Linked DNA regions of Rattus norvegicus. The protein of the gene in region 1 purifies or fractionates together with the protein of each later gene. This does not show direct contact. Links are inferred from orthologs where the notes say so. Each region holds a gene or a part of one and is shown in the gene's direction. Other genes may lie near its edges.

Region 1 (3,454 bases):
GTGTGTGTGTGTTCCCTGGCATTATCCCATCTGACACAGGAATACTAAGACTTAGAAAACCAGACAATCTTACAGCTGGGAGAGAGGCAATAAGGCCCAGTGTGGAGCAGCAGCAGCCACTACTCGATGCCAGTGCCACCTATGCGCCCTGCCACACTGCTGCTCTGTGGTCAGTCAGCGATGTCTGCAGCAGGCATCAGCAGGAAAAAGGAAGTGTGAGCGTGTTCTAGTGGCCAGCCCCACAGCAGACATTCTCCTTAACCAGTCCGTGATGCCCAGCTCTTGGCCTGTTGCCTGAATGCAGCCTGCATGGCATTGGTGGATGCAGGCGTGCCCATGCGAGCCCTCTTCTGTGGGGTCACCTGTGCCCTGGACCCTGATGGCAATCTTGTGCTGGACCCCACAACCAAACAAGAAAAGGTAGGCGTGGCAAGCTGGTGTTGGTGAAGGGCTGCAGCTCAGAATGCCTCCAGGCCTGACCCTAACATGGCAGTTGGCTTGTGCACCCTTGACACACTTGGCGGGTTCTGACCTATTTGTCAAGGCTCATTCAGCTTTAAGTGCTAGAAACCCATCTCAAGCCAGACTTACACCAGCCAGAAAAGAAACTTGCTAGCATTCACTCCCCAACCGTAGAGCAGAGCTCTGGTTCTTATGCCCTGTGCTGGTGTGATGGTGATGACAGGGAAGCCCGTTTCCCACCCTTCACATGAAGTGATTGGAAACCCTAGCAGTGTGGCTGGACCTCAGCAGGATCGCAGTGGGTTGCAGATACAGGCACAGAAAAAGGTGCAGTCACCTCACCTTTGTGGCTTTTGCTGCAACTGCTGCTGCCTGAGTGGGAAGCGGGATGCTTGTCTGGAGGCTTCCCAGGATCCCATCAGATAACCAGGAAAGCCTAATGGCAAGAGAGCCTTTGGCTTGCCTATGTAGGACAGAACAAGGAAGGATGCTGGAGAGGCAGCCAGGAAATGACCAGCACTGTGTTTCCCCTGTAGGACAGGGAAACTGCTCAGAATAGAGACATAGGAGCAAAGAAATAAACAGTTACCTAGGAATGGGTTGGTATGTAGACAGAGGGCTTCAGCTGACCTAGAGGCTAAGGATCCAGTTACTCCTGTTTGATACTGTCTGAGATCTTAGAAAGGAGGGTCCCTGGATACTTAACAGTCTTCTACCTCTTGTCCCTAGGAGGCCCGGGCCATTCTGACCTTTGCTCTGGATAGTGCGGAGCAGAAGCTGCTCATGTCCGCCACCAAGGGGCTCTATTCTGATGCAGAGGTACCCATGTGGGGCGGGGCACCACCCAGAATCTTTTCTCCTATCGCTGGCTGTAATGCCTTGTCCCAGCTCAGAGCAGGCTCTTCTTTATATCCCCTGCAAGGGACAGGGAAGGGCACATTCTCAGGGCTTAGTTCCTGAAGTTCCTGCCCTGTGTGCACAGGGTTCTGGGCTACAAGTTTAATCTCAGCACAGGGGAGACAGGCAGGCATAGTTCTGAATTCAAGGCCAGCCAGGGCAACATTTTGAGATCCTGTCTTAAGAAGAAAAAAAAAAATGCTCCTTTGTAGCATTTTAAAGGAAAGCCTGAAAGGTTAAATCAGAAAACAGGATTCAGCTTGAATTCAGTTGTCAGCACAGAACAGTGCCCTCTAGAATTCTGGGCTCCCAAGGGGTCTGTGCCTGTATTTCTTTTGATTTAGATCTCTCATTTCATGGCTCTTACAGTTATTGGAGTTGGGCTTGGGGGCTGACAGCTGTGATCAAAACACTTCAGAGGCTGGGGCAGAAGGACTGGTGTGAGTTCCAGGCCAGCCTGGACTATGTAGTAAAAACTTGTCTCAAAAAGAGAGCAGAGGCTCCAGGCAGGTCTGTCTAGTCACGCTCAGCAGGCCGTAAGTTAGGAGAGCTGCTAAGTCTGAGATCATCTTGAGCTACATATATAGTTCCAGGCCAACCTGGGCTACATGGCAAGATCCTGTCTCAAATAACAGCAAAAGACGTGAAGGTTAAAGGGTTATGCCTCTACCTCTCAGGCTCTCCAATTCTTTGAGTTCTTTAAGGCGTGAGGATTCTGATCTCAGGGATTCGAGGTCCTGTTGCTTTCATGAAGAGTGTGGTCCCCAAAGCCCTTAATCTCATTTCATTAAGAAAAAACTTAGGGGCTAGGAAGACGGGTCTAAATTAGAAACGCTTGCTGCCAAGCCTAATCGGCTGACTTCAGTCCCCAGGACCACCATGGCAGAAGGAGAGAACCAACGCCTTCAACTTGGTCTTTAATCTCCACAGGGCATGCTCAGGCACTGTGATTTATGTATTAAAGAGGGAGCAGGCTTAGGGGCTTGAGGATGTGGCTTAATTGGTAGAGGGTTTGTCCCACGCATCCCCGGCACAATACAAAGCCAGGAGTAGTGACGTACAGTGACTGCGGCAGGGTGATTGTTGCCGCCATGATGTAAGCGTCTCATTGTGGGGTGGGAATGAGGAGGTGCTGAGGAAGGACATGGCTGTCCTGGTGGTGAGGAGTGATAGGAGGGCCGGGGAGGATGTAGGTTCGGGGACTCCTTTGGGGTTAACTTGCTTCTCGTTCCCAGCTCCAGCAGTGTCTGGCCGCCGCCCAAGCTGCCTCACAGCACATCTTCCGCTTCTACCGAGAATCCCTGCAGAGGCGCTACTCCAAGAGCTGAGGCCCGCCAGGGCAGGGCGCCCTCCACCACGCCCACCGCCTACCCGCCAGCAGCCAGCACTCCACTGTGCCTCTGTCTGTGCCCAGGTAGCCTCTGGTCCTGTCGCAGCAGGGGCTGCTGAGGCAGGCTAGGGAGGGGCTTAGGGACATTCTAGGCCTGGGTACAACCCTCTCTTCACCAGGACACCATTAAAAAGGGCTCACCTGTGTTGAGCGAGTGAGTCGGTAGCCACTGATCTGGTGTCTGCAGAGCACTCATTCAGCAGCCTGCTTGGCGCCAAGGGGCTGCAGTGAACGAGAGACCCAGGCCGCGTGGTCCAGGGTAAGAGGTGGGTGTGGTGGTGTGGCCAGTAGTCCTTGCCACTTGGTAGGTAGAGATCATTTCCCACCGCACAGTGAGTCTGAGGCCATGCTGGGCTCCATGAGACCATCTTACTTTTAAAAGGAAGGTGATCTGGAGAGAGCTCAGCCATTAAGAGAACTTCCTTTGCTTACAGAGGTCCAGGGTTGAGTTCCCAGCACCCACATCAGGAGCTCATAACCACGTGGCTCAGCTGCCGTGGGATCGGACCTCCTCTTCTGCACACACAGAGACAGTTAACCTGAGGGGGTGGAAGGGCTCATTCCGCATCAGGATGCCTTTACCGTAGAGCAGCTGGAGATTGCCCTGAAGGAGGAAGGTGTGAGCTCTTGGCTGACGTGGGAGGAAAGGGCAGGAGGAAAGGGAAGAGATGTCCACATGGGGGCTTAAGGGGATTACATCCCGCA
Region 2 (4,373 bases), on another chromosome or scaffold:
AGGAGAGCTTCTTTCTGTTTGCCTCTTTGATAAACATTGCTTAATTACAGGGCCGTCAGTGATTGACTCGTCAGTTACCATATGTGACTCTTAGGTTTCCCACCTCAATTCCACTAGTGAAAATTAACTCGAACACACCAGGCTTTTAGAGTGATTTGTTGGCTTGAACGGGAAATGAGCTTTCCCTTATAGCGTCACTGTTCTCAAGGCATGGTCTAAGATATAAAAATAAAAGAGTAGAAAATAAAAGTACATTCATCACTTTTTAATGTAAGGCGTGTCAGTCACAATAACTCGGATCGATCTTTCTTTCTTTCCTTTTCTTTTTTTGCAAATTTGGTAAACTTTCCTCGGAAAAGGAGCAAATGTTTCCAGATGTGAGAAACCACACACAAAGGACAAGAGTGATGCTCCCCTGCTAACTAAAGTCAGAGGACCTTGTTCTTTTGACGCGACCGAGACTCAGGCCGGTTAGGCTCCCGTTCCCGCCACCCCACTCCCTGCCCAGGTTACCTGTGGAAGCTGATGTTAATGTGCTTGTTGTAGGTAGCAGCACAGCCCGCCGCGGCGCAATTGGTCGGCATTTCCCCCGGCCCCTCATTCGGCGCTACCTTACGCCAGTTCTGAGGCGCTGCCCGCTAAGCTTCTGTCAAACGCTAGACAAACGAGGCAGGCGACAAGCTCCGCGCAGAGAGCGGGGTGGGAAGAGGGGCGTGCACAGTACCGAAGTGGGAGGGAGGCCGCACTCCCCTTTTTCTTTATTAATATGGCGGTTTTAGGCCTGCAGAGCCAACGTGCTGGAGCTCTCGGCGCAAACGGTAGCCTTCACCAACATGGCGGCCACACCTGCCCCTCTTCCCCCTCCCGCTCCCCACTTCCCGGGGTCCCAAAGACACTCGGTATACTGCGTCTCTGATAGGGGTGCCCTTGCAATGAATGAGATGATGACAGGTGTCTTCCACACCGACAAATTACTCTGAAACTCAGGCCTGCGGCTGAAGAGCAGGCCCGCTACCGGGACACTGACCCCTGTCACCTCAGACCGGGTGCTAGGGACGGTTAAGACCGCAGGGACCAAGGACGAAGCGGGGAGCAAGAGGAGACTACAAATCCCAGCGAACATCGCTGGTCTACAAAGCCTGTTCTCGCGACACTTAGCTTTCGCCTTCCGGCGTGTCGCAGGAAATGACGATCGGGACACAGCCTCCTTCCACAGAGCCTTTCTCGCGAGGCGGAAGAGCAGCAAGGGGGCGCTAGGAGAGGGAACTGGCTAGCGACGGTCCGGCGAGAGAGATCTGGGGTGCGGGGAAGTTGGGGAGCAGAACCTGCTAGGCGTCCGAACACGGGAAGGCCGCGCCTGCCGGGTCCGTTAGGACAGAGGGCGGAGGAGTAAGGGGAAGGCAGCTGTCGGGCGGTCCCCGGACAGAGGGCTTAAGGTAGTGTGGACAGCGCTGCTCCCCGGATGGCGACCGCCGACACTTCGACCCCGGCCTCTAGCGGCCTCTCACCGAAAGAAGAAGGGGAGCTCGAAGATGGGGAGATCAGCGACGACGATAACAACAGCCAAATCCGGAGCCGGAGCAGCAGCACCAGCAGCAGCGGCGGCGGGCTGTTACCGTATCCGCGGCGGAGGCCTCCTCACCCGACCCGGGGCGGCGGATCTGGGGGAGGCGGCGGCTCCTCGTCGTCCTCGTCCTCTTCTCAGCAGCAGCTGAGGAATTTCTCACGCTCGCGGCACCCGTCTGAGCGGGGCCACCTCAGGGGACACAGCAGCTACCGACCCAAAGAACCGTTCCGGACTCATCCGCCCCCGGTTCGGATGTCTTCGGGGTCCCTGTCGGAAAGCAGCCCCCGACCGTCGTTCTGGGAGCGGAGCCACATAGCTTTGGACCGTTTCCGCTTTCGAGGCAGGCCTTACCGGGGTGGGAGTCGCTGGAGTCGGGGGCGAGGAGTGGGTGAGCGAGGAGGCAAGCCGGGGTGCAGACCTCCTTTAGGAGGAGGAGGAGGAGGAGGAGGAGCGGGATCCGGATTCGGCAGCAGCCAGAGCTGGCGAGAACCCTCTCCACCTCGCAAGAGCTGTATCCTTAACGTGGCGGTCCGCCCTGGGTGTGTCGCCGGAGCTCCCTTTGGCGTCATTGCTAGGTCCCGGAGTTTAACTTTTCAGAACCACTCATTTGTCTCTGTTCGTCGGCAGTTGTCATGTGTCACACTCCACCGCTATTTTCGTAGGTTGTTTCACTGGATGCGTTGCTTTTGGATCGGAGCGTGTCATGGATTCGGGTCAGCCAGGGAGATCAAATACAGTCTGGGTTTTTAACGGGACACCAGCAGTCCAAATTTCATTAGTATTTGTGCAGTTTTGTTTGTTTGCTTGGTTTTTTTTTCTTTTTTCTTTTTTTTTTTTTGCTAGCCCTGGAATTTCGTGTTTAATAGGACATCGACATAGATTATTAGAGAAAAGAAGTACTCCGGAGGAATACTGTTACTTATATTGCGTCCTGACATTAGAGTTCATGAAGTTTTCCTCTGTAATTTTACCGTTCTTTTGATTTTTTTTTTCTTAACCTAGAGTTATTCGTTCTTATTGCGGCCCATTGTGGTGTGTATGTGTACGCGAGTGTGTAGATCCTTTATTTATTTATTTTACTATTTTTACTATTTAGGTCTTTTATATTCATAAGTACTTTGGAAGGCTATATGCATTAAGTTCACTTTCCTATGTTCACTCTTTGGTTCTATAACTCTTCGTGCTGCCAACATGTAGGTCAGAGAAACTTAAACTTGCCAGCACTTTTAATTTAATGTGTTAGAGAAGGAGAGATGTATAGCGAATGGACTGGTGGGGAAGAAATGTCCTAAGTTTTGCTCCCTCTCACATTATTCCCAGTTATCTTTAACATTACTAAGTTTACTCAGGATTTATGTTAAGAAATTAATCGTCCAAAGCTTTCCTGTTTTCTTAGGGATTTATATATCCTGACTTCTACTCTTTAAAATAGTTTCATTACTAGCTATAATTCCCATGATGTAATGATGTTTAATAGATTTTCTATAAAGTTTACATCTGACACTTAATCGGAAGATACTCGAAATTATCTTTATGGAGAACTTTAGGCCAGATGTGCTTTTCCCAGATGGCATGATGTTAAGTGAGCAAGGAAAATATAAAGTAACAACAGATTTTGGTTTCTGTGTCCCAAAAAAGCTTTTACTTCTATCACCTATCATTGTTTTAGAAGCAACTCAAGATGGTTTTGGAGAAAAATCACAGGTAGGTAACCTTTTAAGAGATGGTGAATTTTTTAAATGAAGATTAGAAAACCTTTACTCATGATTGTATGCAAACATGAGCCATCCACGGACTTTTTTTCTCTTTTCTGAATTAAAAAATCAAAGGATATTTAAATATGTATATAAACATGTTTTTTAAGGTTACCTAGGTGAAAATTTGTAATTTGTATCAGAGAATATCTGCATCTCTCTGCTTTAGGAAGGTGTGGTGATTAGGCCTGCTACCTCCTGCCCTCGCCTTTTCTTCTGTTTGTGTGCTACTATTTGGGGATTCTGCCTCATATGAATGTTTATGTACTTATTGCAGAAAGAGTGTCGGTAAACATCCAGTGTGGGATGTGGTTTTGATTGCCCTGACAGCTTCTTACAAATCAGCTGTCTTGCTGATTGTTTTATAGATACAGCACTTTAAGAACAAGATGCTTGGTTTGATTTTCTGCATTATTGTTCTTATGAGATATAAGTAAACCACCATATAGGTATTGTTCTTCATAATTTGAAAAGGAAAATGTAGTTCCCAACCTCTTTGTATAATGTGAGCAAATAAAACTTGGAAACAAAGCTTTTTCCACATTTTTAATATCTGTATCATACTCAGCTTAATTCACATGTCTTCTGTGATTATAAAAATGGCTACTTTACAAATATTGCCTAGAAAAGATTGAGTGCAATTCTGACTCACTTAAATGATTTAGAAATGAAACATCTGGAGGATAAGCTTTGGCTATTGTTACTGTTTTATAACTTAAATAGGATACATTATGTGCAGTTTCAAAGAAAACAGAATAGACAAGATTCTGTTTCAGTTTTTTCTATTGTTGTTTAGAGACATGGGTTCACTTTGTAGCTACTTTGGAATTCAGTATGTAGCCCAGCTGGCTCAAAGCTATGGCAGTCAACTTGCATCAGCTTCCCAGGGATAACTGCCATTTTAAACTTGGAAAGGAAATCAGATGAGCCTTAACACAGTTAGCTAGCACAGTGTCCTAGATGAATAAAGTCATCCCATCTTCACTTAGGTTGCACTTAAGGTTGAAAGTGGTTCCTCCTTTAAAACATCAGGTTTTAAAAGTCATTTAAAA

What was found.
Region 2: the proteins of Exosc5 (region 1) and Zfc3h1 purify together in Homo sapiens (affinity purification with mass spectrometry; 3 studies listed by BioGRID and IntAct, with this or other methods). This does not show direct contact. The link is inferred for Rattus norvegicus from reciprocal best matches to the Homo sapiens genes EXOSC5 and ZFC3H1.

What each region holds. Positions count from the first base shown.
Region 1 is NC_086019.1:90,302,126-90,305,579, forward strand, and holds the end of Exosc5 (exosome complex component RRP46), read left to right. Parts: intron 1-279; coding exon 280-420; intron 421-1,191; coding exon 1,192-1,281; intron 1,282-2,594; coding exon 2,595-2,687; 3' UTR 2,688-2,922; downstream 2,923-3,454. UniProt on the Homo sapiens protein: Non-catalytic component of the RNA exosome complex which has 3'->5' exoribonuclease activity and participates in a multitude of cellular RNA processing and degradation events.
Region 2 is NC_086025.1:52,892,955-52,897,327, forward strand, and holds the start of Zfc3h1 (zinc finger C3H1 domain-containing protein), read left to right. Parts: upstream 1-1,462; coding exon 1,463-2,078; intron 2,079-4,373. Other genes in the region: Thap2 (THAP domain-containing protein 2), read right to left, coding at 514-584. UniProt on the Homo sapiens protein: Subunit of the trimeric poly(A) tail exosome targeting (PAXT) complex, a complex that directs a subset of long and polyadenylated poly(A) RNAs for exosomal degradation. The RNA exosome is fundamental for the degradation of RNA in eukaryotic nuclei.